Linked DNA regions of Neurospora crassa OR74A. The protein of the gene in region 6 interacts with the protein of the main gene of each other region in a pairwise test. Links are inferred from orthologs where the notes say so. Each region holds a gene or a part of one and is shown on either strand. Other genes may lie near its edges.

Region 1 (5,021 bases), on a different chromosome or scaffold from region 6:
AGCAGTTGAGATGGAGAGAGAAATGAAATATGCACGTCAACAAGTGGACGGCAGAAGTGGAAGGGTGCAGGGAGGGAGGGGTTCGAGACAACGCCCGGGTGGGAGATGGAGTTTATGCTGCCTATAAAATGACATCATCCATCTACCGAATCAAATTGTCCGTTCTCTGTCACGACTTCCAATTGAAGGAGGCGCGCCAAACGTCTTCCATTATTGAACCTGCCCATTCCTGCTCAATGTCACACTCACCCAGGGAAAATCCTCTTCGAGGTAATTTTGTCCCATCTTGATTACGAGTGGTGACCACGGCGAATATGCCTTCAGCACTCCAACGCGAAGGCACGATATGAAAGATTAAAGAAGGCTATGCGCAGTCAACAACACACCAAGAAGGGACCATCTTCTGTCGGATTCAAGGGATAATGGAAGAATCCCATCATGTGTCGCCCTCTTGAGACGCGTTTTTACATACCTGGAGCCGAGGAAGCTACGCCATAGGTGATCGGCAACTGGGCTGCTGGTGCCTCCCCAGCCCAGCCATTCGCGTATCCAGCCATGTTTCCGTGACTAACCATTCAGAATCCAGGCTTCGACCTCAAGCAAGAAACGAGTCAAAAATATCATCGGCAGATGCAAGATGCCCTCCATCATGTACAATTACATCACCGGTCCCAATCTCTACCAAGACGAGATTGAAAAGCCGGCAAACATGTATGGACATGATGAACAACATTGGTTCCTAAGATGCCAGGGACACATTTCTTCAAGATGAAGGACCCTTATAACTAGCCTTCACCCGCCTGTTATACTCGGGAGTCTTCACAACAGTCTTCACATTCCATCACATTGAAGAAGCGAGAGCACCAAGTCCGCGAGTCAAAACAAACCATCAACCATGGCTCCCCTACCACTCCCACGCATACCCGCCTCAACGGCCGAGAAACTCCAAGACTTTGTCTTCAAACGGATCGTACACCCAGCTCTCCAAGGAGTCGAAGCCATCCACCCTACAAGAACCTTCAGCCCCATCACCCGGCGGCAAGATGCCCCGCCCACCGCCACGGTAACCTTCGTCCAAGTCGACAACGACAACGACAACGACCCTGATGACGCGCAAACCCTCAGCGGCGGCGCCATTGCCGGCATCGTCATCGGCTCCATCGTCGGCTTGCTTCTTCTCATCTGGATTATCCGCAGCTGCTTCAACCTGGGCGCTCCACCGACACACGGCAAGCGCAACAGCAAGGCTTGGTACGGTGACGTGAGGGATGAATACCCGCCCAGACACGTGGGCGGGGTGAGACACTCACGATCGAGGTCGAGGCATTCGCATAGCCATCATCGGGGTCATTCTAGGCACCGGAGCCATTCGAGGAGGTCGTCTTCGATGCGCGAGGTGCCGGTTGTGGTGGCCTACCCGACTCATGTGTATGATGATCGGAGGGGGAGGAGCAGTAGGAGGAGTCGGAGTCGCAGTGTTAGTGTTTCGAGGTATTAAGGGGAAGAATGGAAGCTGATTGGGAGTATGGGAAGGAGAAGCTCAATTAGGATGATAGAGCATTGCGCCATGCGTAACGGATTGACGAGGCAACGAATTGATGACTGATTGATACGAACATATTCTTTCCCTAAACTGTATAGTGTCCGGACAGAATAACATGTAATGAATAATGAACAGACACTGGTGTCTTGGATAGAAGCCGGAACAGTCCTTCAATAACATCAATACAGCGACTTTTCACTTAGACACTAATCGTTAGCAGGAGGCAGTGCAATATGTGAAAACACTAACAGCGTCACTTGGTGCATGATGTACACCTTTGATGCCGGCTTATCGGCTTATCGGCCGTCAAGGTTGCGTTCAGCCAGGAACAAACCCCGCCCTTCCGGCACCTTTTGGCAGGAAGCCCCACTCCGTGAGTCACCAAACGCGGCAGGCGGTGTAAAATTATGTATAGCGTTGGAGGGCAAGTGGAAGCATGCCACTTTCACGGCTGCGATCGATGGCGTCCCGTCTCCTCCGCGACCGGTTCATTCAGTTGTCACTTTGACATCCATCCACTGACTCTTTCCACTTGTCTCTGTGCCAATTCCACCCAGGGAATCCCCTCCTGTTCCTGTTTCCGTTTCTGCCTTCCTTTGCTTAGACGTTACAGTTCAGTTGTTCAGGATGGCTGCCCTCGACATCAGGCCGTCCCTGGAGGACGCGCGCAAGCTCTTCGACCAGACATGCCAAGCATCAGCGACCTCGACAGCATCCCCAAGGCCCACCCTTCTCCCCCTCTGCATCTCCTTGCCTGCCGACCTCTTGACGCCCTCGGCCATCTACCTCAAGCTCTCCGCAGGGTGCGTCTTCCTCCCAAACCTCTCTCCCCCTCGCCGTGTGTCCCGTTCCGAATAGCTCAATTGACTCACTCGGCTAGAGCGACAGCTGAGTACTCGTTCCTCCTCGAGAGCGCCACTGGCAGCACCGAGACTGTCGGCCGCTACAGCTTCATTGGCGCCAACCCCCGAAAGGTCCTCGAGACCGGCCCCGGCTACCAAGATGTCGGCGATCCCATGAAGGCCCTTGAGCAGGAGCTCAGCCAGGACAAGGTCCTCAGCATCCCCTCCCTCCGACTCCCCAAGCTGACGGGCGGCGCTGTCGGCTACATCTCGTACGACTGCATCAAGTACTTCGAGCCCAGGACGGTCAAGGGTCGCGAACTCAAGGACAACCTACACATCCCCGAGGCCCTTTTCATGCTCTACGATACCATGGTTGCGTTCGACCACTTCTCCTCCGCCTTCACCGTCGTCACCCATGTCCGACTTCCCGAGGACCCCTCCGGCGACTTCGAGGCGGCCTACAACGCGGCTTGCGACAGCATTCGCTCGACACTCGAAGTGATCAACCAGCCAGAGACGCCGCTCCCGCCCAAGGACTCTAGCGCTCCCGTCGCCGATCAGACATTCGCTTCGAACGTTGGGCGCCACGGTTACGAGACCTTTGTGACGGAGCTCAAGAAGAACATTGTCAAGGGTGACATCATCCAGGCCGTCCCATCCCAGCGCTTCTCTCGCAGCACCAGCCTGCACCCCTTCAACATTTACCGGACCCTGCGCACGCTCAACCCCTCGCCGTACCTCTTCTTCCTCTCGTGCTCTGACTTCCACATTGTTGGCGCCTCGCCCGAATGCCTGATGAAGACCGACGGCTATGCCGACCTTCCCACGGATACCCGTTTTGGCTATAGTGCTGCCGAGGCCCGCTCTCGTCCCAGGATCGTCAACCACGCCATTGCCGGTACCATCAAGCGTGGCCTCAACTCGGAGGAGGACGATGAGCTTGCGGCCGTGCTGCTGGCCTCAACCAAGGACCGCGCCGAGCACGTCATGTTGGTCGATTTGGCCCGCAACGATGTCAACCGTGTCTGCCACCCGTCTACCGTCAAGGTCGACCGCCTCATGCGCATCGACCGTTTCTCACACGTCCAACATATCACCTCGGAGGTCTCCGGTCTGCTGCGCCCCGAGTGCACCCGCTGGGACGCTTTGCGCTCCATCTTCCCCGCCGGTACCGTGTCGGGCGCGCCCAAGATTCGTGCCATGGAGCTGATTTACGACTTGGAGAAGGAGAAGCGCGGCATCTACGCTGGCGCTGCCGGTTGGTTCGCCTATGATGTCATTCGCGTCGAAGGTGGTGAGGGTGATGCCCCTGTTACCACTTTCTTGAGCGAAGGACAGATGGATACCTGCATTGCTATCCGCACCATGTTGGTCAAGAATAAGGTTGCCTACCTACAGGCGGGCGGTGGTATTGTATTTGACAGTGAGAAGACGGAGGAGTGGATGGAGACCATGAACAAGTTGGCCGCCAACTTGCGCTGCATCGAACTGGCTGAGAAGTACTACGGCGAAAGTACGGGATCCAAGTCGGTGCAGGAAATCATTGAGGAGGAGAGGAAGAAGGGCGACGAGCAGTACAAGCTGCAGACGATGAGCGCTGGGGCGTAATTGCGAGTATGGTGTATTTGTGTGTGTTGTGAAGGCTCAGTCAAAACAGGATACCAGGTGAATCAATGTTTGAGCTGCAGGCTGAAGCCTTCCCATGATAGGTGTGGTCTGGGTGAAACTCGGTGTCCTTGTCTGCCAAGTCCACTGCTCTGTCCTACGTCCCACCCTGTCGGCGATAACTGTCCCATGAGCATCGATATACCCTTCCCTTCTCGGCGGCCGCCGAATTCTTTTCCCCGGCTCCTATTTCCCCGACTGGCTAAAGCGAACCGGCCAACGGCCTCTCCCTGCTAACACTCCGCTTTCCGGGGTATACACTGTAAGCGCCCGTCTTCCCGCCGCACCGGGACTAAGGCGCCTTTGTAAGATAGTTAACGAGGCCGAGATACTGGAGACATATAACCCTCCTATTCAGCGGCGGGTATTGCATCGGTTAACGTATAGGAGAAGATCTCTTTGTTTTTTTAATTTACCCCCCCAAAAAAGGTGTAAGGTGATTGGAACGGTGACACTTTTTCGGGTGCTACAGGGGCAGTCAACGCAGCAACTAGTGGTGCCACCTTTTTTGTCAGGGCGAGCTTGTCACACGTGAGACCACATCACAGCCTGACATGATGTACTGGCTCGGTTGCCGCGACCGGGAATAGTGGGTCCCGGGTTTGAACGCGCCTTGGGCTGGCCACTCATTCGCGCCCATGATTCTATTCCGTCGTTAAACTTCATCTTGCATTCTTCGAACAACATGCCGCTACTGCATAGTAGTATTCAAACCAACTCATCTCCCCATTTCTTTTACAACGTGGCAAGCCATTTGCCGCTCCATCCTCTATCGTCGAACACCCACCTAACCACGTCCGCACCCTGCCGTCCGGGGTCGTCATCATGGTCCGCACTCGAGCTCAGAGAGGTCAGCCCTTGACAGGCAACCGATCCCAGGGCATCCGCAAAAGCGCACCTCAAAAGCGCCGTCGCCTCCGAGATCCAGACCCAACAGACACGCCACAAGATCAAGCTGGATCAGATCA
Region 2 (4,922 bases), on a different chromosome or scaffold from region 6:
TGATTGTAAGATGAGCAGCCTAGAATAGGGCGTAAACTGGTTTTGGGTTCAAGTTGAGACGGATAAAAGAGAAAAATTTCTCCACAGTGACTCAAAGGGAGCCAAACCCTGAGCTTGACCACCACCACCAAGTTCGAGACTTGTTGTCTAACACAACCGATGCCTCACAAGATATCCGTTGCCTAAAATCGCCAAGATAATCGACAGACTCTGGGTTTTCAATCCATCTCTCGAAATCGTCGAATCCCCTGAATGAAGGGAACTATTTGCGCCAATATTCTAACTCTCACTACCCGATTCAAACGCTTGCACCTCCCACAACTCACCCCAATCCTCAATCGACACCACCACACTATAACCACAGACATAACTAGACCAAAATCTACGGCAGTGCCATTGATGGCACCCGCTATGACAACTTCGACGACAATGGAAACCCGGATTCTCAAAGTGAAGGTGGACGACAGCAACATCCAAGTGCTCGGCCACTGGAAGGAGGAGTCAGCAGAACACAAAGATGGAAGCAAAACGAAAACTAGCAATCTCAACACATGGGAGGTCCCAACTACATCAGAAAATGAGAATATACTGTCTCCCATCCGCGAAGCAGCCCACCACCTCCGCACCACCGACATTCCTGTCGCCTTCCCCACGGAAACCGTCTACGGCCTAGGCGCCGATGCCACCCGCAGCGCTGCCGTCAAGGGAATCTATGCCGCCAAAGGTCGACCAAGCGATAATCCTTTGATCGTGCACGTTTGCGATTTGAGCATGTTACGGTCATTCATCTCTCCCTCCTTCTCCTCAGCAGGAGACGAAGAAGACCCCATCCCAGCCATCTATCACCCCCTCATAACCCGCTTCTGGCCCGGCCCCCTCACCATCCTGCTACCCAACCCCTCCCCCTCCCTCCTCGCTCCGGAAGTAACCGCCGGCCTACCCACATTCGGGTGCCGAATGCCCGCCTCGGCGCTGGCTCGCTCGCTGATCAAACTCGCCAACGCCCCCCTCGCCGCGCCCTCTGCGAACGCCAGCACTAAACCCAGCCCCACCGCCGCACAACACGTGTTAGACGATCTACGGGGTCGCATCGCACTGATCTTGGATGGAGGATCATGCAGCGTAGGGGTGGAAAGCACGGTCGTCGACGGGCTTTGCTCGCCGCCTGTGGTGCTGAGGCCGGGCGGGGTCAGCTTGGAGGAGATTAGGGAGTGTAAGGGGTGGGAAGGCGTGGAGAAGGCGTATAAGGATCAGGCAGAGGTCGGAGGAAAGACGGCGCCGAGAGCGCCGGGGATGAAGTATAAGCATTATAGCCCGAAGGCGAGGGTGGTGTTGTATGAGGCGGAGGGAGGGAGGAGGGAGGTACCGAAGGCGGATGTGAGGGAGGCGGTTGAAGCGGCTGGGGAGGAGGAGGGCAAGGGAAACGTGAAGAGTGTTGCGGTTATTAGGACGGGGAGATGGCCTGTTGCCGGGGGGTTGAGGAGTCAGGGGCTTGATGATGTTGCTGCGAAGGACAGCGGGGACGTGGCCGAGACTGGGTTCGCTGTCAGGGAAGGGCAATGGCTGGATGAGGACGGCACCACGGTGTTGGCAAGGCTTCTGGAGATTGATCTGGGCAACGATGTCAAGGGGGTGGCACATGGCCTTTTCGCTGCCCTCCGAGAGCTGGACAGGCGCGGCGCGGATGTAATATTCGTAGAGGGTGTGAGTGATGGAGACGATATCGCGGCGGCGGTCATGAACAGGCTGAGGAAAGCCGCTTCCGACATTAGAATATAGACGGGGTCAAACCCTATAGATCGCAAGGGAAAAGACTATAACTCCTGTTTTCTGCTAACCCATCACTTGTTGGCTTTTCGTGTCTTTTTGCTTCGCCTTTGGCTCATTACTCTGCCATAAAAAGGCTCGCCAAACAAAAGGGCCTGATACCTTTTTACGAACCAATGCGCCAACTTTACCTTGGTTGCTCCCATCCGCCACACTCCTTCCCTTGTCATTACCCACCCGCACATGCCCTTAGAGACCCTGACGAAGCCAGTCAGTAAGCTTAGCCTTGCCTAGTTGTGCCAAGTTGTTGACACCCTGCTCGGTGAAGGGGTCGAGGCGGCTGAGGTTGACATCGGCAGGCGGCGCCTTGCTGCATCGTTGAATGATGATGGTGGGATCGGTCTCGAGAACAACGCCGTCATCCACGATTTCGTCGATAGCGAGGGATACCAGATCGTAGTTTTCGACTATCGTGCGCTTGTCGATCGATTGCCTGAGTAGAAAGTCCGTGGTTAGCCAAATCATGTCCCATGACCGGCACCTTCACGTTCGCCATAAATACTCACTTGAAGAGCATATGCAAGCTGTCCCTAAGCGCCAAAAGTACGTTGTAGAGCAGAACTTCGTTCTCGTCCGCGCTACCAACGACGTAGATAGCAACGTCCGACTCCATCTTGTAAAGCACCACCTTGTTGTCGTAGAGGAGGATATCGCCCGTCTGCTTAGCTGTCTTCTGAAGGAGGCCCTTCTCGAAACGGGTTTGAGAAGTCTTGTCGGGATAGGGGTTCTGGGAAGCGCTCGAGGAAGCTGTTGTGCACAAGGTTCGGGCTGGTCAGCCTTACGGGAACATGCGACACCGAATAAGGGGTAAAAGGAGCGTCTATTGCGTACCGAGTCCGGCGGCCACTCCTGTTCCTGGTGCGCCAGCGGCAGCGTGAGGAGGAGTGTAGTATTTTGAGAATATCCGCGAACCGTCATCGCTGGAGAGGATTACTGTTGGAACGCAATTGTCAACATTGCTCGACGTGGCGCGTATAAGCCAGGACCCAGGAGCAGCGTGGTGCCTAGTGTACCTATAGCGTTGACGCTATACAGCGACATTCCTGGCGACATCTTGACTGGTTATCTGGGGGTTCTTGTTTCTTGATCAATTGCTGTCTCGAGACTGGTATCGGTTGGAGAAGGTCGGCGACGAGGGGCAACTCGACTTCAATGGGCGCAAGTGGGTAGGTATATAGTGGTTAGCTTGAACTCCAGAGGTGCTGCGTAGGTAGGTAGTGCTCACAATGACCAGGGGCAGGCGGTATCGTTGGTTACCGTGGTGAGCGTGGGTATTGTGGGGTGAAGCGGTCCCTGTGATGTGGCTTGAATCCAGAGCGAACACTCCAAGCGAGGCCCCACGGCGCGGTACGTACCTTACGTACCTGACAGTTCGCACTCAAGAGCAGCACTGCAGTGGCCTCGTCCGTCTCATTTGGGTATGACAGGGGTTTTAATGGGTCAACGCGAGTAAGCCCCCGCAGACACGAACGGCCGTGTAAAGTGCTTTTATCAGAGACGCGTGTGTCGCGACTGTCTTTTTTTTCGATAGGAACGTGATCCACCTTGCCCGTCCTGAACACGCTGCCGACCTGCCAACCACCTCGCAATTACAGAGGGATCGGGAGCCGCCACAACAACACTCCAGCGTCTCCATCCCAACCTGCCCGTCTTCTGTCCCTTCTTGTTGGTTTAGTTTCCATACTTTGTATTATCTCAACAAAACCACCGAGGACAGAGTAGTAAACATGTCTTCCCCAGCAAAGCGCAGAACAACGAGAAGCTCCCAATCAGCTACTCCCCGCACTACTCGCAGCTCGCAGGCTGGTCCTTCGAGCGCAACTCCTCGCCAGACACGCGCATCACAGCTTGCCTCTAGTCCCTTATTCTACGAGCCCTCCTCGCCTGCCAATGGCGCCGCCCCGGTATCTTCTCCCTTGAGGCAGATGAGCAATACCCAGAGCACTGCCCACCAAGGCAATGCGCCGAGCTCGCCTTTGCGCCAGCAGACAGAGACCCAGAGCGATGCTGACCGAACTCCTCGCGCAAACGGACGGAGCCAGTTAATTGGGGGTATGGCTGTCAACCAAAAAAAAAAAAAAAAGGACTACACTGAATGCTGACCACACTCCGCAGACTCCTCTCCCATCCGCTATGCCTCCAGTTCTAGCCCGGGCCGTCAGCTTACTCAACAGTCCGATCTTCGTAGCGAAAGCAGTCAGCTCTTCGTCAGCTCGCAAAGGTCCGTTGCCGGTCGATCCCGTCGAGGCGACATCAACGGGGACCCTCTTCGTACTCCCGCCCAGATTCCCCGCCGAATCATCCTCGACGACGCCGGTCGTGTGATCCGCGATGCCCCTGGCTCCGATGCCAACTCGTTTGTCACCAATAACCCCAATACCTCTGAGGCAGATGCCCTTGGTGGACAAAGCCAAGGTCTTGTTTGGGGTACAACAATTTCTCTTGACGATTCGTTCTCCGCGTTCAAGGACTTTCTCAGGAACTTCACCAGGAAATACCGGATGTGGGCAGATGGCGCGGACGAGGCCGAGACTATTGGCCATCCGGATGCGGATTCGAAGCCATATTGGGAGGCACTGGAGAATATGCTGCTGCTTGGTACCAACAAGCTGTATCTGGATCTCCGCGACCTCAAGTCCTACCCGCGCACCTTGAAGTTATGGCATCAGGCCCAACACTATCCTACCGAAATCATCCCGGTCATGGATCAATGCGTACATGACTGTATGATGGAGTTGGCGCAAAAGGAAATGGCCAGCCAAAGAGCATCCCAAAACTCTAGGACCGCTCCAGGTGCCTCACAAAGCTCGGAGCCGAACTTCCCAAGCTCTGAAAGGAGCGAGGAACCGCCCACCCCGCGGCCTGCCCAAACAGCGGCGCCCACAATTGAGGACCAAGTCAGCCAGATGGCGTATGTGGTTCGCCCGTGGGGTCTTGACAAGATCACCAACCTCCGTGACCTCAACCCATCTGACATGGACAAGCTTGTGTCCATCAAGGGTCTTGTCATCAGAACCACGCCGGTCATCCCCGACATGAAGGATGCATTTTTCAAGTGCAGTGTTTGTGGTCATTCTATAACCGTTCAGTTAGAT
Region 3 (4,721 bases), on a different chromosome or scaffold from region 6:
ATGGTGACGGTCGCGGTGTCGGTCTCTATCTCGCGATCGGTCTCGATCATGGTCCCGTTCCCGCCTCTCCGACCGAGACCGCCTACCACAGTCAGATTCGTCACCAGACGCTCTACTATCATGTTTTTCCTTGCGATATTCTGTTCGCCTCCTCTTTTCTCGTCGTCGCTCTTCTTTTCGCAATTCCTTTAGCTCCCTTTGCCTCTCCTCATTCTCCCGTTCCCGTTCCTTGTTGAGATCACGCACCATCTTGGCACCCCTCTTCATCATCGCTAAAGGATCACTTGCACTCAGTCTTTCCACCTCACGAGCCTTCCGTCCGGGATCCTCCTTGCCGAACACGTTCTTGGATGGCACCAACGCAGCAACGTCGCCATCCGGTGTCGCATACCAGGGGCCATTTCTGGCTAACAAGCCTTCCGCATCCCTGCCAGCCGCACTGGTAAAGCGTACCTGATGCTGCTCCGCTTCCTCACGCTTTTTCTTGGCTGCTTCTGTCTCTGTTATCTCATCCTTCTCTACAAGCCTCAGCTCCTCTTCAGAAAACAACGTGATATGACCCCTGCTATCGACCAGCGATGCAGTAGTAGCAGTGATGGAAGTCGACTTCACTGGGCCAGACAGCTCCCTCGCCGCATTTTGCCCTGCCGTGGCCCGTTCCCGCGCTATCCTCATTTCAAAATCGGTGTCATCCTCGCCTGCTCGCTTGCGTTTGCGTCCTTCTATCAGAGGATCACGTTCACGCTGACGGCGCCCATGATCATGGCTGGATTCTGATGCTGGCGGTTGCTCCTCAAGTGGCGGCGGAACTTCACCGCGCAGAATGGCTAGACGACGTTCGGCGTCGACCTGTTGCATGCGTTGCTCCTCAGCTTCCTCGCGAGCACGGGCCTCGGCCTCGTCACGGCGGACGCGGGCGACGTTGTCTGTGTTGTAGACGTTCCATGATTTCTTTCCGAGAAGGTGACTTGTATGCTGTTGGTAATTGTTGCTTGGATAAAAGGAGTCAGTATTCACTCACAGAGGCATATTGACGTTGGGACAAACGATGAAATCGTCTCCCTTCAAGTGATTGGATAGTTGAAGACGACAACATTGGGAGAACCAGGAAGCACCTCTACTTGGAGTCAGTCTTCTTATCTTATCTTGCGGCCAACACGTGCCCCGCTCTTTGACGTACGTTGGTCCCGTTGGTCAGGGGCGAGTCCAGGCTGGGCGCCAGGGGACCAAGTCTGGGGATACACCACTAATTGAAAGCTGGCGCCTTTGTACAAGTAATCTGACAATATGCTCCATAGTACAGCCGCCATTGACACCATTTCCTGTACAGCGTCAGGGACACAGCTGAAACCACCCAACGTAGTAATAGCGTTCCCTTGACACAACAGACCTCCATCCGCATCCCCTCCTCTCTCAACTCAACAAAACACCGAAGCTCAGCCTCAAAGGACAGGCATCTTCTGTGGTCATACCCGGCTATATCGTCAATTACAATCAACCGAACCAACATCCACGACGTGTCTACGTACTTGCGCGCGAATCCAGTGCGCCCACTCCACGCTCCAACGAGACATAGATAAACACCACCAAGGGCGACTGGTTCTCCCCATTTACGTCCACTCACCTACTACTCCTCCTCGATACCCGTAACTTATAATCCACACACGACACTCACCATGGATATTCGAGGCAACCTCTTCGGCAAGAAGCCCCAAACCCCACAAGGAGGAGCTGGTCTCCCCGGTCGTCCCGTCCAACAAGCAGCCGGAGGCGGATACGGCGGCGGCGCAACACCAACCAACTACGGCAGCCCAGGTGGTCGCGCTCCCTCTCAGCCCCAATACTCTGGCAGCGGCGCTGGAGGATATGGAGGTGCGCCATCTGAAAAGAGCTATGGCGGCGGCGGTGGCGGTGGTTACGGCGGACAGCCCGCTCCTGGCGGATACCCTTCTCAGCCAGCCGGTCGCGGTGTCCCCCTTCGGCTCGCAAAGGTGGATGACAAGACGTTGCAGAGTCTCTACATCTTTGGCAACATGTGAGTTCCCTGCGCTACCCATGGTCAGTCTATCCAATCCAAAGTTGTTAACCTCGTACTTTAGTTGCGCCGTATCGCCCAATGATTTCCCCCCGAACCACGATGGCACCGATCTATACATCCGCTTGACAGGAAGACAGCTACGAGGAGATTACGTGGTGACGGCACGCCCCACCCCCGGCTTCCGTCCGGGTCACATCAGCTTGTCAGACCCCCAGCGAACATGGTGCGGAGTTGGCATGATGGACGAGTTGATGGGAGAGGTCTACGATCCCTTTGCCCGTGGAGGCGACGCCTACATTGGCTCCATGGATGTTGAGATCGGATTTGCGTCAACCAACCGAATCGTCGATACCCCCTATGACCAGGATGAGCTGGCCAAAGTGTTCCTCAAGACTTTCCAGAACCAGGTCTTTGCTCCTGGTCAGAGGTTCCTGCTTGACGTCAAGAACATCCCTTTGGCTGTCATGGTCAAGACGGTCACTCTGGTTGACCTGACCATGCTGGGATCGGGCGAGGCTCCCACACGCAGTGACCCTGGAGCACGCGGTATTCTCACCAACCAGGCCAGCATTGGCTTCTACAAGGATGCCAGGTCACCCATCAAGCTCAAGGGCTCCAACAAGCGCCCAGCGGCCAACGCCATCATCGCCCCAGACTTCAAGTTCGAGAATATGGGCATTGGTGGTCTGGATACCGAGTTCTCCACCATCTTCCGTCGTGCCTTTGCCTCTCGTATCTTCCCTCCCGGACTCATCGAGAAACTTGGCATCATGCACGTCAAGGGTATGCTGCTGTATGGTCCTCCCGGTACCGGAAAGACCCTGATTGCCAGACAGATCGGCAAGATGCTCAACGCCAGGGAACCCAAGGTCATCAACGGTCCTGAAGTGCTGAACAAGTACGTTGGTCAGTCTGAAGAGAACATCCGTAAGCTCTTCGCCGATGCCGAGAAGGAGTACAAGGAGAAGGGAGACGAGTCCGGCTTGCACATTATCATCTTCGATGAGTTGGATGCTGTGTGCAAGCAGAGAGGTTCGGGTGCTGGTGGTGGTACCGGCGTCGGAGACAGTGTTGTCAACCAGCTGCTCTCCAAGCTTGACGGTGTCGACCAGCTCAACAACATCCTCCTTATCGGAATGACCAACCGTAAGGACATGATCGACGATGCCCTGCTTCGTCCTGGTCGTCTCGAGGTTCAAATCGAGATCTCGCTTCCCGACGAGCATGGCCGTGGCCAGATTCTCAAGATCCACACCTCCAAGATGAAGGAGAACAAGGTCATGGCTGACGACGTTGACCTCGCTGAGCTTGCCACTCTTACAAAGAACTTTTCTGGTGCCGAGTTGAGCGGTCTCGTCAAATCCGCTACCTCGTACGCCTTCTCCCGACACATCAAAGTCGGCACCATGGCTGGCGTTTCAGAGGACGTGGCCAACATGAAGGTCAACCGCCAGGATTTCCTCAACGCCCTCGACGAAGTCAAGCCCGCCTTCGGCGCCGACGAGTCCGAGCTTGAGAAGCACCTGGCTTACGGCGTCATCCACTATTCCAAGAGTATCACGTCGATCCTGGAAGACGGTCTGCTCTACGTCAATAACGTGCGCAAGCTCGAGCGCCTCAAGCACATGACCGTCCTCCTTCACGGCCCTTCGGCCTCTGGAAAGACGGCTTTGGCCGCCCATATCGCCATGAAGTCCGACTTCCCCTTCATCAAGTTCATCACCCCCACCGACATGGTCGGCTTCCGCGACGAGGTGGCCAAGAAGGATTACATGCACAAGATCTTCACCGACGCCTACAAGTCCCCGCTCTCCCTCCTCATTATTGACAACATCGAGCGCATTATCGAATGGAACCCCGTCGGCCCGCGCCTGTCCAACACCATCCTCCAGGCCCTCGTCACCCTTTTGGTTACTCCTCCACCTAAGGGCCACCGTCTCTTGATTCTCGCCACGACTTCGCAGCGTACCGTCATGGAACAGTTGGACGTCACTGAGTCGTTTGACTACCAGATTGCCGTTCCCGCTGTGAACAACCTCCAGGAGTTGGGCGCAGTGTTGAACGAGGTGGGAGCGTTTGGTGGCGACCAGGCGGCTGTCAGTGAGGTGTTGAATACCCTACGCGAGTATACCGGGTCGGATAGCGTGGGTGTGGGTGTCAGGACGATCCTGACGATTGCGGAGAGCGCGGACACGAGTCCTGATCCGAAGGGATGGTTCGTGGAGAAGATGGCCGGGTTGATTGCTCGGTATAATGTTAGGTAGAGAGAGAGAACTAGAGCTGTAGACAAGGAGGTATATACATTAATATGGGTATATGGGTGGATATCAAGTGGATGAGCTTCAGGATATAGACAGTGATGCCTTTTGGGAATAGAAGTAGGTTAATGATGACCACTACTTTGTTATAACTGTTCCAGTCTTGTTCCGAATCTTACCCCTGCGTTTCATGGGAAACCAAACGCGAGCGTTCGTTAGACTTGTATATATATTTCCATGCTAACGTATCCGAGATATTCAAAGGACCACTATTTCTGGACCTACGCTACTATGTATACCTTCACAGCACGAACGAATACTTACCATATTGGTCAGCGCCTCCATGAATGAGATGCGAAAGTAGAAGAAACTCGAAACGGTCGACAGTTAAAAATACAACTGCGGACAATCAGCTGTCAAAATCC
Region 4 (4,260 bases), on a different chromosome or scaffold from region 6:
CACGATCCTCCTCGATACGTTGCTCAACTTGTTTCTTGTCGAGACGAGGGGCGGCAGTGTTGACGCCTCCGCCGCGTTTGCTCAAATTGCTATGCTGTTGGTTGCTAGAGGAAGGTCCGCCGGCGGCATTGGTGGCGTTGGTGCTGGTGGGGAGGGTACCTGCTGCTGCTGTGGAAGAAGATGGAGGAAAAGGAGGAGGGTAGGAGGAAGAGTGGATGGCGGTTTGCGAGGGGGGCATGTTGGTATCGTATCCCGATGCTGCTGCTGAAAGGTTGTTGTTGTTGTTGGCAGAAGGGGAGAGGACGAGGTCCCCTTGGGAGGAAACGTAGGATTCGCCGCGTTCGCGGAGGACTTCAAAGATGTCGGTTAGGATGGTGGCGTCGAGAAAGGATTTGGCGTGGAGGGCTTGGAGGACCTGTTGTATGTTTGTGTTGTTTTTAGCATTGGCTGAGGATTAGGGGGGGGATAAAGACGGGTGAGAAAGGCAAAAACACAAACCTTGCGGACAACCTTGACGTTAGCCGCCCCTGACCCGTCATCTGGCGCCACGGCATCGACCACACGAATAATGTCCCGCTGCATCATGCGGATGTAATCCTCTTGTCCGTCTTTGTAGGCCATGTCGAGAAAGTGCTCGATGAAGTACATGATGTTGGCTCGCATGTTGAGATTGCTCTGGGAACCTTTGTTAGTGAATGTCTTGATTGAGCCAACGAGCCGCGGGGGTAGGGGGAGGGATGAGCCGATGAGGGTGAGGCTGGATGGTTTGACACCAGCTCAACTCGTCTTCTTCCCAAAATGATTGATTGACTGAGCAAACATGAAGATAAAAGATAAACACACCCTTTCAAGTTGCTCCAGAATGCAAGAGTGCAAATCTTCAGCTAGATCCTTGTGTCGGAGAGCATACTGTGCTGCCTTTTGCGAGGATGTCACGGAGGCACTTAGTTGGCGGAGCTGGTTTGTGAAGCGCATGCGCACCTCGAAAGGGTCGGCCATTTTTGCTTTTTTTGGTGATGTATGTTGTTTTGCGTCTAGATGCTGGTAGTTGTTGAAGATGTTTCAGTTGTGTAAGTGATGTAGTTGGGGTGGGAAAAGAAGGGACCCTGGTGTGACTGAAACTGCTATGGGTTGTTGTTCGGGTGTAAGTGAATGAATGGATGTAGTTGAGTTACTCCAATTGTTCACCTTGCCCGATGTTTATATACTTTAATTATCTGCTGTCGTGCTTCAATGCGCTTGCATAACTGGCTCATCTGCACCTGCTTTTAATTTTCAAAATTTGCTCAGTTCTGCAACTGACGCCAACTTGAACTTGAGATGTCGAGTGAACACGGAAATCATGAATATGACAGGCACGAAAGCATTTCAAGGTTGTCGTCGCCAACAACACGAGCATTCAAAAAGAAGAAAGGACGTTGAACTTGGGTAACCACACTAACCCGCATATAGCAGGCGGTGAGCATGTTAACGAGGCGCTAGTTCTCTTAGTACTGTGTGGTAGCGATACCGGGGTCCTAGTGGGGTCTGTTTACAGCGGCAAACTCTCCACTGACCGATAAAGTGATATCACAACTCAGGATCGATGAATAAGTTCCCGTTTTGGGCCTCATCGAGATCGTCTTCACACTTCACTGATCGACCTCTTTTTCTTATCTCTCCGACAGGAACCAACTCGTTTATTTATTCTCTTCCAATTTTGGACGACCCGAGTAAACAACAACTGTCGAACCTTTCCACTTTCAACTCAATTTCTTAAAACCACCACCACCCACGACACACAACATCAAGAACATGGCTGCTCCTCAAGTAAAGAGCTCCTCCGAGCTCACCATGGCCGTTCTCGGCTGCGGTAAGTGATCCTTCCCAAATCTCACTCACCTCACACGCCCGTCACAACCCCCTTCCTTCCCTTGCCCAAATAATGTCAGACATGGCACTAACCCTACCCTCGTCCAGGAACGATGGGCATCTCCATCCTCTCCGGCATCCTCTCCTCCCTTTCCTCCATCGCCCAAGACCCCTCTCCACCACCCACCAACCCCCCCGCCCTCCCGCGCCACTTCATCGCCACCGTGCGCTCCCCATCCTCCGTCGCCAAAGTCGAGTCCGCCCTCTCCCCGCTCGTCAAGCCCTCCGTTTCTACTCTGCGCGTCCTCCAATCCACCTCCAACGTCTCCGCCGCCGCCGAAGCCGACATCATCCTCCTCGGGTGCAAGCCCTACATGGTCTCTGGCCTACTTTCCGCATCCGGCATGAAAGATGCTCTGACAGTCAAGCACACCGAAGGCCACGCGCGGTCCCAAAAGATCATCATTTCCATCTGCGCGGGCGTGACGGTTCCGGACCTGGAGCGGGTCTTGCGCGAGGACGTCGGACTGTCCGCTGATAACTTGCCGATTGTGGTGCGCGCGATGCCCAACACGGCCAGCAAGATCAGAGAGAGCATGACGGTTATCAACACGGTTGACCCCCCGCTGCCGGATACCGTCACGGAGCTGCTGACGTGGATTTTTGAGAGGATCGGCGAGGTCGTGTATTTGCCTCCGCACTTGATGGACGCGTGCACTTCTTTGTGTGCTTCGGGCACGGCGTTCTTCGCGCTGATGATGGAGGCGGCGGCGGATGGAGGTGTGGCGATGGGGTTGCCTAGGGCGGAGGCGAACAGGATGGCGGCGCAGACCATGAGGGGTGCTGCTGGGCTCGTGCTGGAGGGAGAGCATCCGGCGATCTTGAGGGAGAAGGTGAGCACGCCGGGCGGGTGCACGATTGGCGGGTTGTTGGTGTTGGAAGAGGGTGGGGTTAGAGCGGCGGTTGCGAGGGCGGTTAGGGAGGCGACGGTTGTTGCGAGCTTGTTGGGAGGAGGGGGAGCGAAGAATGTCAATGGTACTAGGCATTAGAGCCCTAGAGAAAAGGGGAGGTGAGGATATGGAGTGGGCGGGGTCTGCCGAAGGGAGGTCCTAGACGGTGTTGGTAAAAGCCTACCTCTAGACGGAAAACCTAGAAAGTCTCGAAACCGAAATACCAAAGGTAGACAGACAGGTGGATAGTGAACCGCACACGGAGGTTCATGACATTATTTATCTCCAACCCCCCTCAGAAAGAATGGGTCGAGGTTCATAGATAGTTAGAGAACATAAAAAGGCGCCAGACGCCCTTTCAATATGTACAAACAAACAACAAATAGAGTCATACAGGGAAAAACATATGCTCGCACCAACAATGCTACTTTCAACCTATGTGCAAGACATCCACCCCAAGCATACTTAGGCTAGTATGCATTATGGATACCACCTCATATCATACGGGGAAAAATGCCATATTTTCGATGCTCAAACCCCTACAGGTACCATTGACCACCCATCCCTCCTGTACTTTGGACTTGGACATGGGTAGAGAGGTAGGCTCTATGCATGTCCGCTCTCGACCTTGGCCTTTTTGCTCGACGCAGCAGCTGTTCCCTCCGCCTGCTCAACCTCGTCCAACTTGCGCTTACCATTAGCAGCAGAAGGAGTAGCCGGCACTTGATCACCGGCAGTCTCACCATCAGCCTGAGCCAGCTTGCCCTGCTCCTCAGCCTTGATCAGCAACCGAGCATAATCAAACTCCACACCAGCAAAAACCTTGGCCAGCTCCTCCCTGCGCTCCTTAAGCTCCAGCTGGCCCAGCGCGTCCCTGTTGTGCACGTATAGCCTCCGCTTGACGAGCATCATCCATAACCTATACGTATGCTCGTCTTCGGGGGTGGGCTTTGGCAGGGCCTTTTCATGGCCCTTGCTCTTGCTTCTGCCGCTCTGCTCCTCGTAGTCCTCATCCTCGGGAGCGCCCAGTCCTGGCCGGACGCTCTCGGGGAGCTGGGACATCAGGTACATCTCGAGCACGCGGGCAAACTGCCGAGGCACGATCTTGAACTTCTTTCGGCAGGCTTCCCAGGCTGCTTGGTCGACAATATTGCTGGGTGCTTTGCCCTCCTCGGGAATCTCGACGCTGGTGTCGATCTTGAGCGCTTGGAACTCGGGTTGTTTGCTGAGGAATGCGAGGTCGGCGAGATCGCGCATGTCATCGAAGGCCTCGTTGGGGTCTTCCACCGTCAACTCAATGGTAGGCTCGTGCTTAAGATATTGCTGATAAATAATACTGTAGAGGCGCGAGCCGAGGCCCTTTTGCTGGAAGGGCGGAATGATGATGAACTGGGAGATGCGGGTGCGGCAGGGGAGAGTGTCGAGGTCGAAGTCGCCGTCGACGGAGAAGGTCGGGGTA
Region 5 (4,115 bases), about 2.3 Mb from region 6:
AGCAGCAGAGGGCAGCGGGGAAGAACCGACTGAGATGGACATCACCGCCTTACACGTACAATCGCAAAACACAACCGTTGTTATTGCTTGCCAAAACTGCGGTACTACCATTACTCCGCTCTGGCGAAGGGACGAAGCCGGTCATACCATTTGCAATGCGTGCGGTAAGTGCATGAACTTATGGCCTGAAAAGTTACAAATGGGATGGAATTTGCTAACTCGAGTAAAGGTCTCTATTACAAGTTGCACGGTGTGCATCGGCCAGTGACCATGAAAAAGGCAATAATCAAACGGAGAAAACGTGTGATTCCTGCCGCCGGAGGTGATGCCGAAATTGAGCCAAGTGAGGCTCCAGATTCACCACCCGCGACATCAGAACCTCCGATGGAGAAAGGTACGGTCAACGAAGATGGATCTGTTAATCTCGGCATCCGCCGACGTTCAGTGCGACCATTGACGCTCGTGCCTGAGGACGAATTGCGGCGAAACAGACAGGCATCCCCGCTGTCTTCAGCCGCCTTGGGACAGTACCACTCATCTCATACAAATCAACCACACCACGGGGCTCATGCATCTCTCACTTACGAGAATCGACTGGCTCCCATTCATTCACTGGCGCTCCCAGTTGATCGTCAAGCGTCCATTTCACCAGCATCATTTCTGTCCCCATCGAGAAAGCGGTCGATATCTGCTGTAGAGAACGAACCTTCGTCTCATAATGACAACGAAAGTCATAAGCGCCTGTCTTCCATCAAATCCATTCTCAACCCGATGCCGAGTTCTGAGATACACCGAGAGGTTTCGCCGGCAGACCAGTTACGGATGCAACCAGCCTCCCGGTCCCCAGCCATGAGCAGTCTGACTCCAGCACACAGTCCAGGGTCATTTTCAAACAGTACGGTTATTGGGACACCAACATCAGCTCCGATTTTGCGGAGCGCCTCGAGAGATACCCACAATGATAGCGAGCGGATGAAGGCAGAGCGAAGAGCAGCGTTGGAGCGCGAGGCCGAAATGATGAGAGAGTTGCTGGCCGCAAAGGAACGGGAGCTTGCCGAGTTGGGTTATGATTGACATGCGGAGGCTGAAAAAGCGGCATGCTGTGAATTCGGGGGAAACAACTGGAGTTATTCGGGAGAGCATACCCATGGAATTTGACTTGTGCATAGATAGATAGCAACGGAAGGCATAGTCTTTTTGAGGAAATCCCAATGACAGTTGGAGCCAGAGACCTTTAGTCATAGTATCCGCATAGTGGTTATGCGTCTATTCATCGATGCCGTCCAGTGGATTTGGTTTTGCATAGTAATAGCCGTCTCATGGCTGTAAACCCTAATTGCAACACCCTCGCTGCAATGGCGAAGTGTGATGCGGCAATGGAAGTTTCAAAGTTCCAGACGGAAAGCCCCTGCCCTGACATGCCGTAGGAGCCAGTGACAAGAGGCCGCGCACGCTTGCATCAGCGTCGTAGGGCGGAGCTCCCACGTTGCGCGCGTTTGGGGCCGGTTTAGTGGACAATGTACCCCGGCAGGGACCACCCGACCCTCCTGTTTGGTGCAGGTGAGGCTACCAGCTTCCTGACCTCGAGCTTCGATTGTTCCAGGCAACACTGTAGAATACACCATCCTCACAACATCTTTCGTTGCTCCGTCAAGAACCACCACCAAGTGGCCACATCTATCTCTACGCTCGCGCAAATTTCCGAGACTCATTTTGAATCGCTCTCTAGATTGCGTCGAACCCAGCAGATCGCACCTGTTCCTGCGACATTCTACCAACCTTTGCGACGTATTCGCACCTCCTCCACCACCACAGCCACTACTAAAACAACGCCATAATGGATCTCTCCGACTCTTTGTACGTTCACATCCGCCCGCTCGTGCGACTATGGAGAAAGAAAAGAAAGAAGGGGATGAGAGCGGAGAACAAGCAAGACCGCTGGCCCCCAATACTGCGTGCATCCAAGCATCCGTTCGAGGTTCAGAACTACTTGCTAACATGATGTCCTCCTCTCTAGTCGCTTTGTCAACCTCGCGGTTGCAGTGCTTATGATCCTGGGTGGTGTCTCCCAGTTCTTCCCTCTCGGAATGTACGTTTCCTCATTGTACGCCCGTTAGCAAGCCGACCGACTGTACAAAGTTATGCGCTTCCCTCCACGAGCGGATATTGTGGACGCAGCAATCTTGGGCGGTCGCCGAAATCGATCATGGTCCTGAAGCCTGGATGTCCCGGCTGCCAGTGCGCGCCCGCCTATGCTCACAAGGGTGTTACATGCTTTGTCCGGACTGTTGCGCAGGCTGATAGAAATCGTATGGAGATGTAAAACTGACCAAGTTACTGTCGACAGTCAACCAATTATCCTCGGGTGCTACACGATCCTGTTTGGTGTTGGTAGGTGGTCGCATACGTCGACAGAAACATTCAAATGGTTTCCGAAACGCTGACGCTGTTCTTCACAGCCACCGGTCTCCTGGAGTTCCAGATCCCTCACCAAGTCTACCGCTATGCGTCGTTCATGTTCTCGTTTCTTGGTCGTGGTGTTTGTACGTTATTGTTGCCCCACCCCCCCTCTGCTGCTATTGCTGAGTTATTGTGACTAATCGTCGGTCTACTCTTTGTACAGTTTACATCTTCGTCGGCTGCATCATTCCCCATGGACACTGGGCTACAATCATTATCGGCTCGATCATCTTCCTTGTCGGAGTCGCCTATGTCGCTCTCGAATTTGTGCCCTCTATTGAGCCCCCTCCAAACATGCGCGAGGTGGATGCGGGCTGGGGCGCTGAGCAGGTGTAGTTTGTGATACACGTCACTATTTGGGAAGTAATGCCCTGCCGAGAATTGGTTATGTAAGCATGAAAAGGGCTCTGTGGCCGCCGACAATGTCATGTCGACCCATACCAAGATGAGACGTTTGGGGTGTGAGAGTAGCGGGAGGATGGTCTGTTTGACAGCTACTCAGGAGCGCTGCTGGTGATCAACTGGTGTCAGAATGTTGAGGAATATGTTGCGCCAGCTGAATGCAGCACAAGTCAAGGGGTACGTAGTTACTTTCAGTAGATAACATCAAGGATGTGTAAGAAGATCAACGATTTAGCTTATACTTTAGTTTGAGGGCAGCAATGGTGCAGCCAAGTCAACATTTTGGATAGGACTGGCCTGCAGTCTTCTGGCATCCATAGACAAGCACTGTCCGTAAAGATGAAGTATCTTCCATTTATCGTTCGCGGTGGCAGTTTTCCACAATGGCAGATCATTAACTGGGTGAACGTGGTTGGAAATCCCCCCCTTTTTGGAGTTTGGGCAATTGTGGTTGTCCTAGCAACCATTTTGTTGTATCTAAAGCTGGAAGGGTTAGGGTATATGCAGGTAGGCGATAAGGTTCTTATCAATTTCAATCTTAAACAACTGCATTACAAAATTTTGAGCTTGACGGCCTGAATGACCTCAAAGTCAACCACATATCACCAAGTAAGGAGCCCTGTGAACACAATCATGTGTGGAATATGCGACTGACAAGTCGAATAAGGACCATTTTTATTGAGTCGTTCAAGTACCACATTCAAGATGGGCAAGAAAAGATCGAGAGAGGAAGCCCAGAAGGAGGTCGTCCAGAACGACCCCACAGTCGATAAGATGGATGAGGATAGTGACAGCTCAGACTCGGATGAGGTGAGTTACTTTCCCTTGGTGCACCAGGCTCGGTTGTTAAACCGACCACTTGCATCTTGGTCGAACCTCTCTTGGCCGGGAGTCGTAATACTAACATTGGTTGGAAACAAGGACATGGATATCATCAACGTCGACTTCGAGCTGTTCAATTACGACAAGGACATCGACTTCCACGGCGTCAAAACGCTTCTTCGTCAGCTCTTCGACGCTGACGCCCAGCTCTTCGACCTGTCCGGGCTCAGCGACATGATCATCGAGCAGAACACCATCGGCTCGACGTGTAAGGTGGACGACAAGGCCAACGACGCCTACGCCTTCCTGACCGTGCTCAACGCGTGGGAGCACCGCGAGAAGAAACCGGTCGCGCAGCTGATTGAGTACCTGTCCGACAAGGCCGTCAAGGCCGGTGATTCCAGCCTGTCTGTGCTGCCTGAGTTGTTCAC
Region 6 (5,036 bases):
CCTCTGTAGCTTGCTCAGCAAGCTTGGCAAGGCCTTCGCGGTCTGACGTCGAGCTGTAGACAAGCAACAGCGAACCGAGATCCTTTGCCTTGACGAAGCACTCGGTGGCAAGAGGCACATCCCAAGCAGCAAGGCCGGCATCACCAAGCGTCTTCCACTTGTGGTCCGCATCAGTCTCTCGTGCAATGTCCAGGGCGATGTGGAGCTGGCCAAGCGATAGCGCCAGATCGAACTTGTGCTCGGGGTCAGTTGCCACCTCAAGCGCGAGCTCCTTGTGGCCCTGTCCCTCAAGGAAGCGCGCAATCTTATTGAGCTGATCCTCAGGAATGCTTGGGAGTAGCTCGGCAGCCGTCTCCATATCCTCGCGAAGGACAAGAGTCTGGTACTCCAAAACGGGAAGCGAGAGCGCGAAAGAGGTAACATTAAGGTCCTTATCGGTGATGTAGACGCGGCCATCACGCTGGAGGTAACCCAAGATGTACATGGGCTTGTCGAAGTGGGCGATGGTGTAAGTCTGGTCGCCAACCAAGTAGTTTAGACGGTTGGTGCTGTTGGTGTAGATCAGGACATCTCCCAACCACTCCGCCGAACGGATACTCTCGCTGATGTCGGTAACGACATCAAACGCAGCCTCAACACCATCATCCTCGACAAGACCAGCCTGGACCGCTTCGTTATAGTTCTCTCTCGAGAACCTGAGGACGTAGGTGCTATCTTCGCAGGCAAGAGCAACCAGCTCGCCGCTCTCGCTCCAGTACACCTGCTTTGGCTCCACCTCAATGCGTCTGACAAGTCCACCCGTCCGCCAGTCGTAGAAGGAAATGCCACCTTGGCCCTTGACACCGAGGAGGACACCGCCGGTAAGACCGTCGGCAGCAAATGGGACGTCGAGACCGCCGACCTTGTTCTCGAAGTTCTTGAAGATCTTGACGCTGGTGGGAGACTCACGAATGGCGAACTCGTTTGTGCTGGAATACTCCTTGGAAGCCCACACAAAGTCGAGGGCTTGACCGAATGCCTTGTTTCTCCAGGCGAGCGCAGTGTAAACGATGTATTCGCCGTCGCCGCAAATAGCAGCGAACCGACCATTGGGAGAGTGGATGAGACTTTGGGGGTACACCTCGGCGGTTCCAAGCTCCTTGGTGGTGAGTGTGATAGGTTCGTTGTCCTTGATATCGGCATCTGATCCCTGTTAGCTCGGAGTCACTCTCGATGTTCCGTTTTGTAACTCACCAGCACCCTTGATCACGGCAGATACAACCTCATTGTGCCTGGCCCACACGATCTTGCCGGAGCCATCCATCGACACAGCGGGCTCTTCCCGACCAAGCTTGATGACCACCGAACCATCATCGAAACCAACAGCAATACCCTGCTTGCCCTTCTGATATGACACACACCATGCTCGCTCCAGGCCGTAGTTTAGCGATTGCTCGAACCTGTAGGTGTTGGCGTTCCATATCCTTATCGTGCCCTGCGGTTACGGTTAGTAATAGCCTGCGAGCGAGTGGACAGGTGCAATATCGACGTACGTCTTCCGAACCAGAGATAATAATAGGGAGCTCTGGGTGGTAGCAGGCAAAGGATACGTTGTTGGTGTGGCCTTCAAGAGTGGCGATCAAACTCTTGGTGGTATAGTCCCACACTTTCACCGTGCGCTGTGCCAGTAAAGTCAGCTGTGAAGTCCTATGCGCCAGCAGATGTCAATATAACTCACGTCATCAGAAGTTGTGAGAAGATAGGGTTTGTCGCTGTGGGGATAGTAATCGACGTGGTTGACGCCCTTGGTCTCGTGCGCCTCAAGCTGGAAGTTTGGTGTGGATGAACCCAAGCTCCAGATCTTGACTGTCCTGTCCAAACATGCCGAAGCAAAGGTGTTGGTATCTTTGGGGTTGATGGCGAGGGACATGACGTAGTCTGAAGCTCTGTTAGCACGCGCGCTCTGCTTCGATGTATCAGGCTGGTGGCGCCATACGTGAGTTGCCCTCGAATACCCGCACGTTCTTCCATCCCTTCTCCCAATCCCAAAGCTTGATCGTCATGTCATCACTGGCGGTAAGGACGAAGGGTTGTGTAGGATGGACGCAAATGGCTCTGATGTAGTCGGGATGCGCCTCGAAGGATGTGATCTTTTCGCTCGTGTTGTAGTTGTAGACTCGAATTTGGCTGGGATTCCAGGTCAGCCTTCCTGTCTAGCTCTAGCCCAAGTTCCATGTCGAACATACAAGTCATCGGAACCACAGATGATCCAGTTCTTTCGCGCAATGAAGCGACCAGCGCGGACGGGGACATCGGTAAGCTCGAAGGTCTTGACGATTTGTTGTGTCTCGTATGACCAGATATAGACGTGGCCGCTGTAGAGGGTCGCTAATCACCAAAGTAGTGTCAGAATTCAGGGCCCCTCCCATCGTATCGCGAGTCGAATCAGACGTACTCAGAATCCATGGCTCGGTAGGATGGAAGTCGATGCCCTTGACTCGCTATGTGCGGGATATGGGTGAGCAATGGGAACCTTGAATGTTGAAAGACTGCTTGGTACCGGAGAAATCAGGGGGTCAAGAGGACAGGTAACGAACCTCAGAGCGGGCAAACAACTGGCGCTGCATGTTGACAGGCATGTTAGCAGGTGTTTTCTAATGAGAGATGGCCCAGTTGGAGGCAGCGATGTGATGATGGACGTGTCGGCGCAATGGAGCTGGCCGTCGAGGTGCCGGTACAGCAGACGGAATAGGGGCAACTGGAAGATCCCAGGCCGAAGCTAAGGGAGGTGCAAGTGTGCGCCAGGTTGCAGAATCGGGTTGTTCTGTTGGGTCTCGGTGACACGGCCATGGTGGTGCAGACACGAAGCCTGTGCGAACTTGCCTTGACATCCAGCCTCATGTTGGGCGAGTTTGGGGTGGGTGTGTGGTGTGTGGTGTGTGGTGTTTACAAGTTGGAATTAGAGGACGGGGCGGTCGTAACGGTTCTCGAGCTTCCAAGCTTCAGGTGGGGTGCGTGCTGGATGCTGGAGATGGTCCCTGACCGTGCAAGAAAGCCGCCGTCGGGTTCGTCAGGGGTGAAGCTATCGGAAGTGGTGCAATCGTGGTTATATGTATTTGGTGTATTGGATATCTGGTCCGCCGAAGGGGGGGGGACGTGGTTGGCGGTACGAGGATTCGGAATAGAGGCTTCGGAGGCCTTGACACTTGATTGCGACGGGCCGGAAATGACAGCGGACGGTTGTAGAGGTGCCCGCCACGTATCTCGACCGGCCGCCGCCCACAATTTCGCGGCTGTGGTCTGCTCGCCGCTCGGGCCACTCTCTCCCTCAGGCGGTCAAGTGGGCACAGCTGCCGGCCACTGTCACTTCCTGCGCTCGCCAGCTGCTGCCTAAGGCAACGACCAACACTACAGCTTTGCGGATCTCTTGGCGCCCCCCTCACCGTCGGTGCATTCAGTGTTTGAAGCCATCACCATCGCCAAACCACGTCCAAAGTCGACCACTGGAGATCGTCAAAAACCAAAAGGCTTGGACCAACGCAACGGTCACTTTGTGAACGACTCAATTCCCAATCACATTTTGGAGGAGTGTCACACACGAGCAAATTTGCAAGATACGAGTATTTCAAAACCAAAAGGTCTCAGCGACGCAACAGGAGGCGCGACCGATGACGGTCAGTCGTCAAGTCGGTACTCCCATCCATTTTCATCGTTACTTAAAAACATTATCAGCAATCACCAAATATGGGCTCAAAGAAAAAGCTCGAAGCAGTGATCAAGTTCGACGCACTTTGCATACGACAACGTTACTGGAACATGGAGAAGAATTGAGTGTGAGTACTTCTTATTGACTTGAACTATATCTATCATTGCAAAGCGCTTCTAGTGATTGCGCAGAGACAATAATGAAGAAGAAAAAAGGGAAACCCAAAACCTCCAGGATGTCAATATGATCCCGGCTAAACGCCATTGATCCCAGTTGTATAATGCTCCGCGTTGATATCCCAGAAAGCAACCAAATGAACGCCATATTCTCCGGATTCCGAGGGTCCACGACACCGTTGCCCTATTCCCTATCCGTAAAGTCTTCGCTCATTTATCATAAGACATGAAGTAAGAATGGATACAAAACACACAAGTTGACAGAAATGCTCCATCTAGTCGTCGTGCAAGTCGGCCTGTACGCGCTGTACAACCTCGACCACCTTGGGGAACAGCTTCTCCTGCTCGTTCAAGCCGCAGACCTGCTTGACAACGTCCTCGGGCTTGTTGCTCGCCATGATCTTAGCAAGTTCGGCCGACTCCTCGTCGCCCTCGACGTTCTGGAAGCGGAACGCCATCTCAGCAGCATCGAGCAGAGCGCTGCAGTCCTTACCGTGTTCGGCAAGCTCGGCTGCGGGGCCGATGAACCGCTCCTTGCGGGACAGCTTCCGTAGGGGAGCACGGCCCACGCGCTCGACGGCATCCTCCAGGTGAGGGTTGCTGATGCGCCTGACAATCTTTTCAACGTACTCGTGCTGGGCCTGTTCGTCGATGCCGTGCTTTTGCGTAATGAGGTGGGATGTGTTCTCGAGCGCCTTCTTGACCTCTTCCTGGATGTCCTTATCTTGGAGAGCATCATAGACGGTGCTCTTGCGGCGGATGTAACCATGGTAGGCGGCCGTCGCGTGGCCGGTGTTGACAGTGTAGAGCTTACGCTCAATGTAGGGCAGCAGGTTGTCGACCCAGTTGATGCCCTTGATGTCGGGCGGCGACATGTCCTTGAAGGGAGTGCGGTCGACCACCCACTCATAAAACTTCTCAAGCTTGACATCCAAGCCTGCGTCGGCATCTTGGGCCGGAACAATGCGATCGATGGCCGAGTTGGCGAAACGGGCGCGCTTCTCATAATTCTCCAACCGGTGCGAGGGAGTGTTCTTAGGGTCCTTGATGTACTCGGCAAGAGTATCCGTCGCCCCAATGGCATTCTCGCAGGCAATGACAGCCACAGGGGGCAGGTCCTCGGATCTGCGGTCGATACCCTTGGCAATGACAGGGGCAATGAACTTGAGGATGTT

What was found.
Region 1: the proteins of NCU07319 (region 6) and trp-2 interact in a protein complementation assay, tested with the Saccharomyces cerevisiae proteins (2 studies listed by BioGRID). The link is inferred for Neurospora crassa OR74A from reciprocal best matches to the Saccharomyces cerevisiae genes SEC27 and TRP2.
Region 2: the proteins of NCU07319 (region 6) and NCU02538 interact in binary tests that used the Saccharomyces cerevisiae proteins (3 or more experiments, as listed by UniProt). The link is inferred for Neurospora crassa OR74A from reciprocal best matches to the Saccharomyces cerevisiae genes SEC27 and RET3.
Region 3: the proteins of NCU07319 (region 6) and NCU03387 interact in a protein complementation assay, tested with the Saccharomyces cerevisiae proteins (2 studies listed by BioGRID). The link is inferred for Neurospora crassa OR74A from reciprocal best matches to the Saccharomyces cerevisiae genes SEC27 and SEC18.
Region 4: the proteins of NCU07319 (region 6) and pro-1 interact in a protein complementation assay, tested with the Saccharomyces cerevisiae proteins (2 studies listed by BioGRID). The link is inferred for Neurospora crassa OR74A from reciprocal best matches to the Saccharomyces cerevisiae genes SEC27 and PRO3.
Region 5: the proteins of NCU07319 (region 6) and NCU07727 interact in a protein complementation assay, tested with the Saccharomyces cerevisiae proteins (2 studies listed by BioGRID). The link is inferred for Neurospora crassa OR74A from reciprocal best matches to the Saccharomyces cerevisiae genes SEC27 and TVP15.

Annotation. Positions count from the first base shown.
Region 1 is NC_026506.1:3,652,819-3,657,839, reverse strand, and holds trp-2 (anthranilate synthase component I), read left to right. Parts: upstream 1-2,001; 5' UTR 2,002-2,170; coding exon 2,171-2,346; intron 2,347-2,423; coding exon 2,424-3,996; 3' UTR 3,997-4,504; downstream 4,505-5,021. Other genes in the region: NCU17136 (hypothetical protein), read left to right, coding at 896-1,498; NCU05130 (hypothetical protein), read left to right, coding at 4,879-5,021.
Region 2 is NC_026501.1:2,662,168-2,667,089, forward strand, and holds NCU02538 (coatomer zeta subunit), read right to left. Parts: upstream 3,054-4,922; 5' UTR 2,881-3,053; coding exon 2,841-2,880; intron 2,761-2,840; coding exon 2,659-2,760; intron 2,575-2,658; coding exon 2,334-2,574; intron 2,261-2,333; coding exon 2,017-2,260; 3' UTR 1,780-2,016; coding exon of another isoform or gene 253-1,779; 3' UTR 169-252; downstream 1-168. Other genes in the region: NCU11234 (translation initiation protein Sua5), read left to right, coding at 253-1,779; NCU02539 (cell division control protein 54), read left to right, coding at 3,555-3,879, 3,943-4,922. UniProt on the Saccharomyces cerevisiae protein: The coatomer is a cytosolic protein complex that binds to dilysine motifs and reversibly associates with Golgi non-clathrin-coated vesicles, which further mediate biosynthetic protein transport from the ER, via the Golgi up to the trans Golgi network.
Region 3 is NC_026502.1:886,726-891,446, reverse strand, and holds NCU03387 (vesicular-fusion protein SEC18), read left to right. Parts: upstream 1-1,393; 5' UTR 1,394-1,676; coding exon 1,677-2,035; intron 2,036-2,099; coding exon 2,100-4,302; 3' UTR 4,303-4,504; downstream 4,505-4,721. Other genes in the region: NCU03386 (hypothetical protein), read right to left, coding at 1-967, 1,022-1,029. UniProt on the Saccharomyces cerevisiae protein: Required for vesicle-mediated transport. Catalyzes the fusion of transport vesicles within the Golgi cisternae. Is also required for transport from the endoplasmic reticulum to the Golgi stack.
Region 4 is NC_026503.1:1,528,277-1,532,536, forward strand, and holds pro-1 (pyrroline-5-carboxylate reductase), read left to right. Parts: upstream 1-1,546; 5' UTR 1,547-1,794; coding exon 1,795-1,852; intron 1,853-1,959; coding exon 1,960-2,900; 3' UTR 2,901-3,220; downstream 3,221-4,260. Other genes in the region: NCU06470 (hypothetical protein), read right to left, coding at 1-415, 499-675, 844-999; hat-1 (histone acetyltransferase type B catalytic subunit), read right to left, coding at 3,408-4,260.
Region 5 is NC_026504.1:2,074,450-2,078,564, forward strand, and holds NCU07727 (COPI-coated vesicle protein), read left to right. Parts: upstream 1-1,582; 5' UTR 1,583-1,837; coding exon 1,838-1,857; intron 1,858-2,017; coding exon 2,018-2,089; intron 2,090-2,347; coding exon 2,348-2,391; intron 2,392-2,459; coding exon 2,460-2,543; intron 2,544-2,623; coding exon 2,624-2,796; 3' UTR 2,797-3,217; downstream 3,218-4,115. Other genes in the region: sre (siderophore regulation protein), read left to right, coding at 1-164, 230-1,074; NCU07726 (bcp-1), read left to right, coding at 3,568-3,672, 3,784-4,115. UniProt on the Saccharomyces cerevisiae protein: Golgi membrane protein involved in vesicular trafficking.
Region 6 is NC_026504.1:4,378,933-4,383,968, forward strand, and holds the start of NCU07319 (coatomer beta' subunit), read right to left. Parts: upstream 3,218-5,036; 5' UTR 2,881-3,217; coding exon 2,863-2,880; intron 2,601-2,862; coding exon 2,577-2,600; intron 2,481-2,576; coding exon 2,435-2,480; intron 2,368-2,434; coding exon 2,226-2,367; intron 2,167-2,225; coding exon 1,976-2,166; intron 1,918-1,975; coding exon 1,718-1,917; intron 1,659-1,717; coding exon 1,533-1,658; intron 1,475-1,532; coding exon 1,234-1,474; intron 1,183-1,233; coding exon 1-1,182. Other genes in the region: NCU07318 (mannitol-1-phosphate 5-dehydrogenase), read right to left, coding at 4,137-5,036. UniProt on the Saccharomyces cerevisiae protein: The coatomer is a cytosolic protein complex that binds to dilysine motifs and reversibly associates with Golgi non-clathrin-coated vesicles, which further mediate biosynthetic protein transport from the ER, via the Golgi up to the trans Golgi network.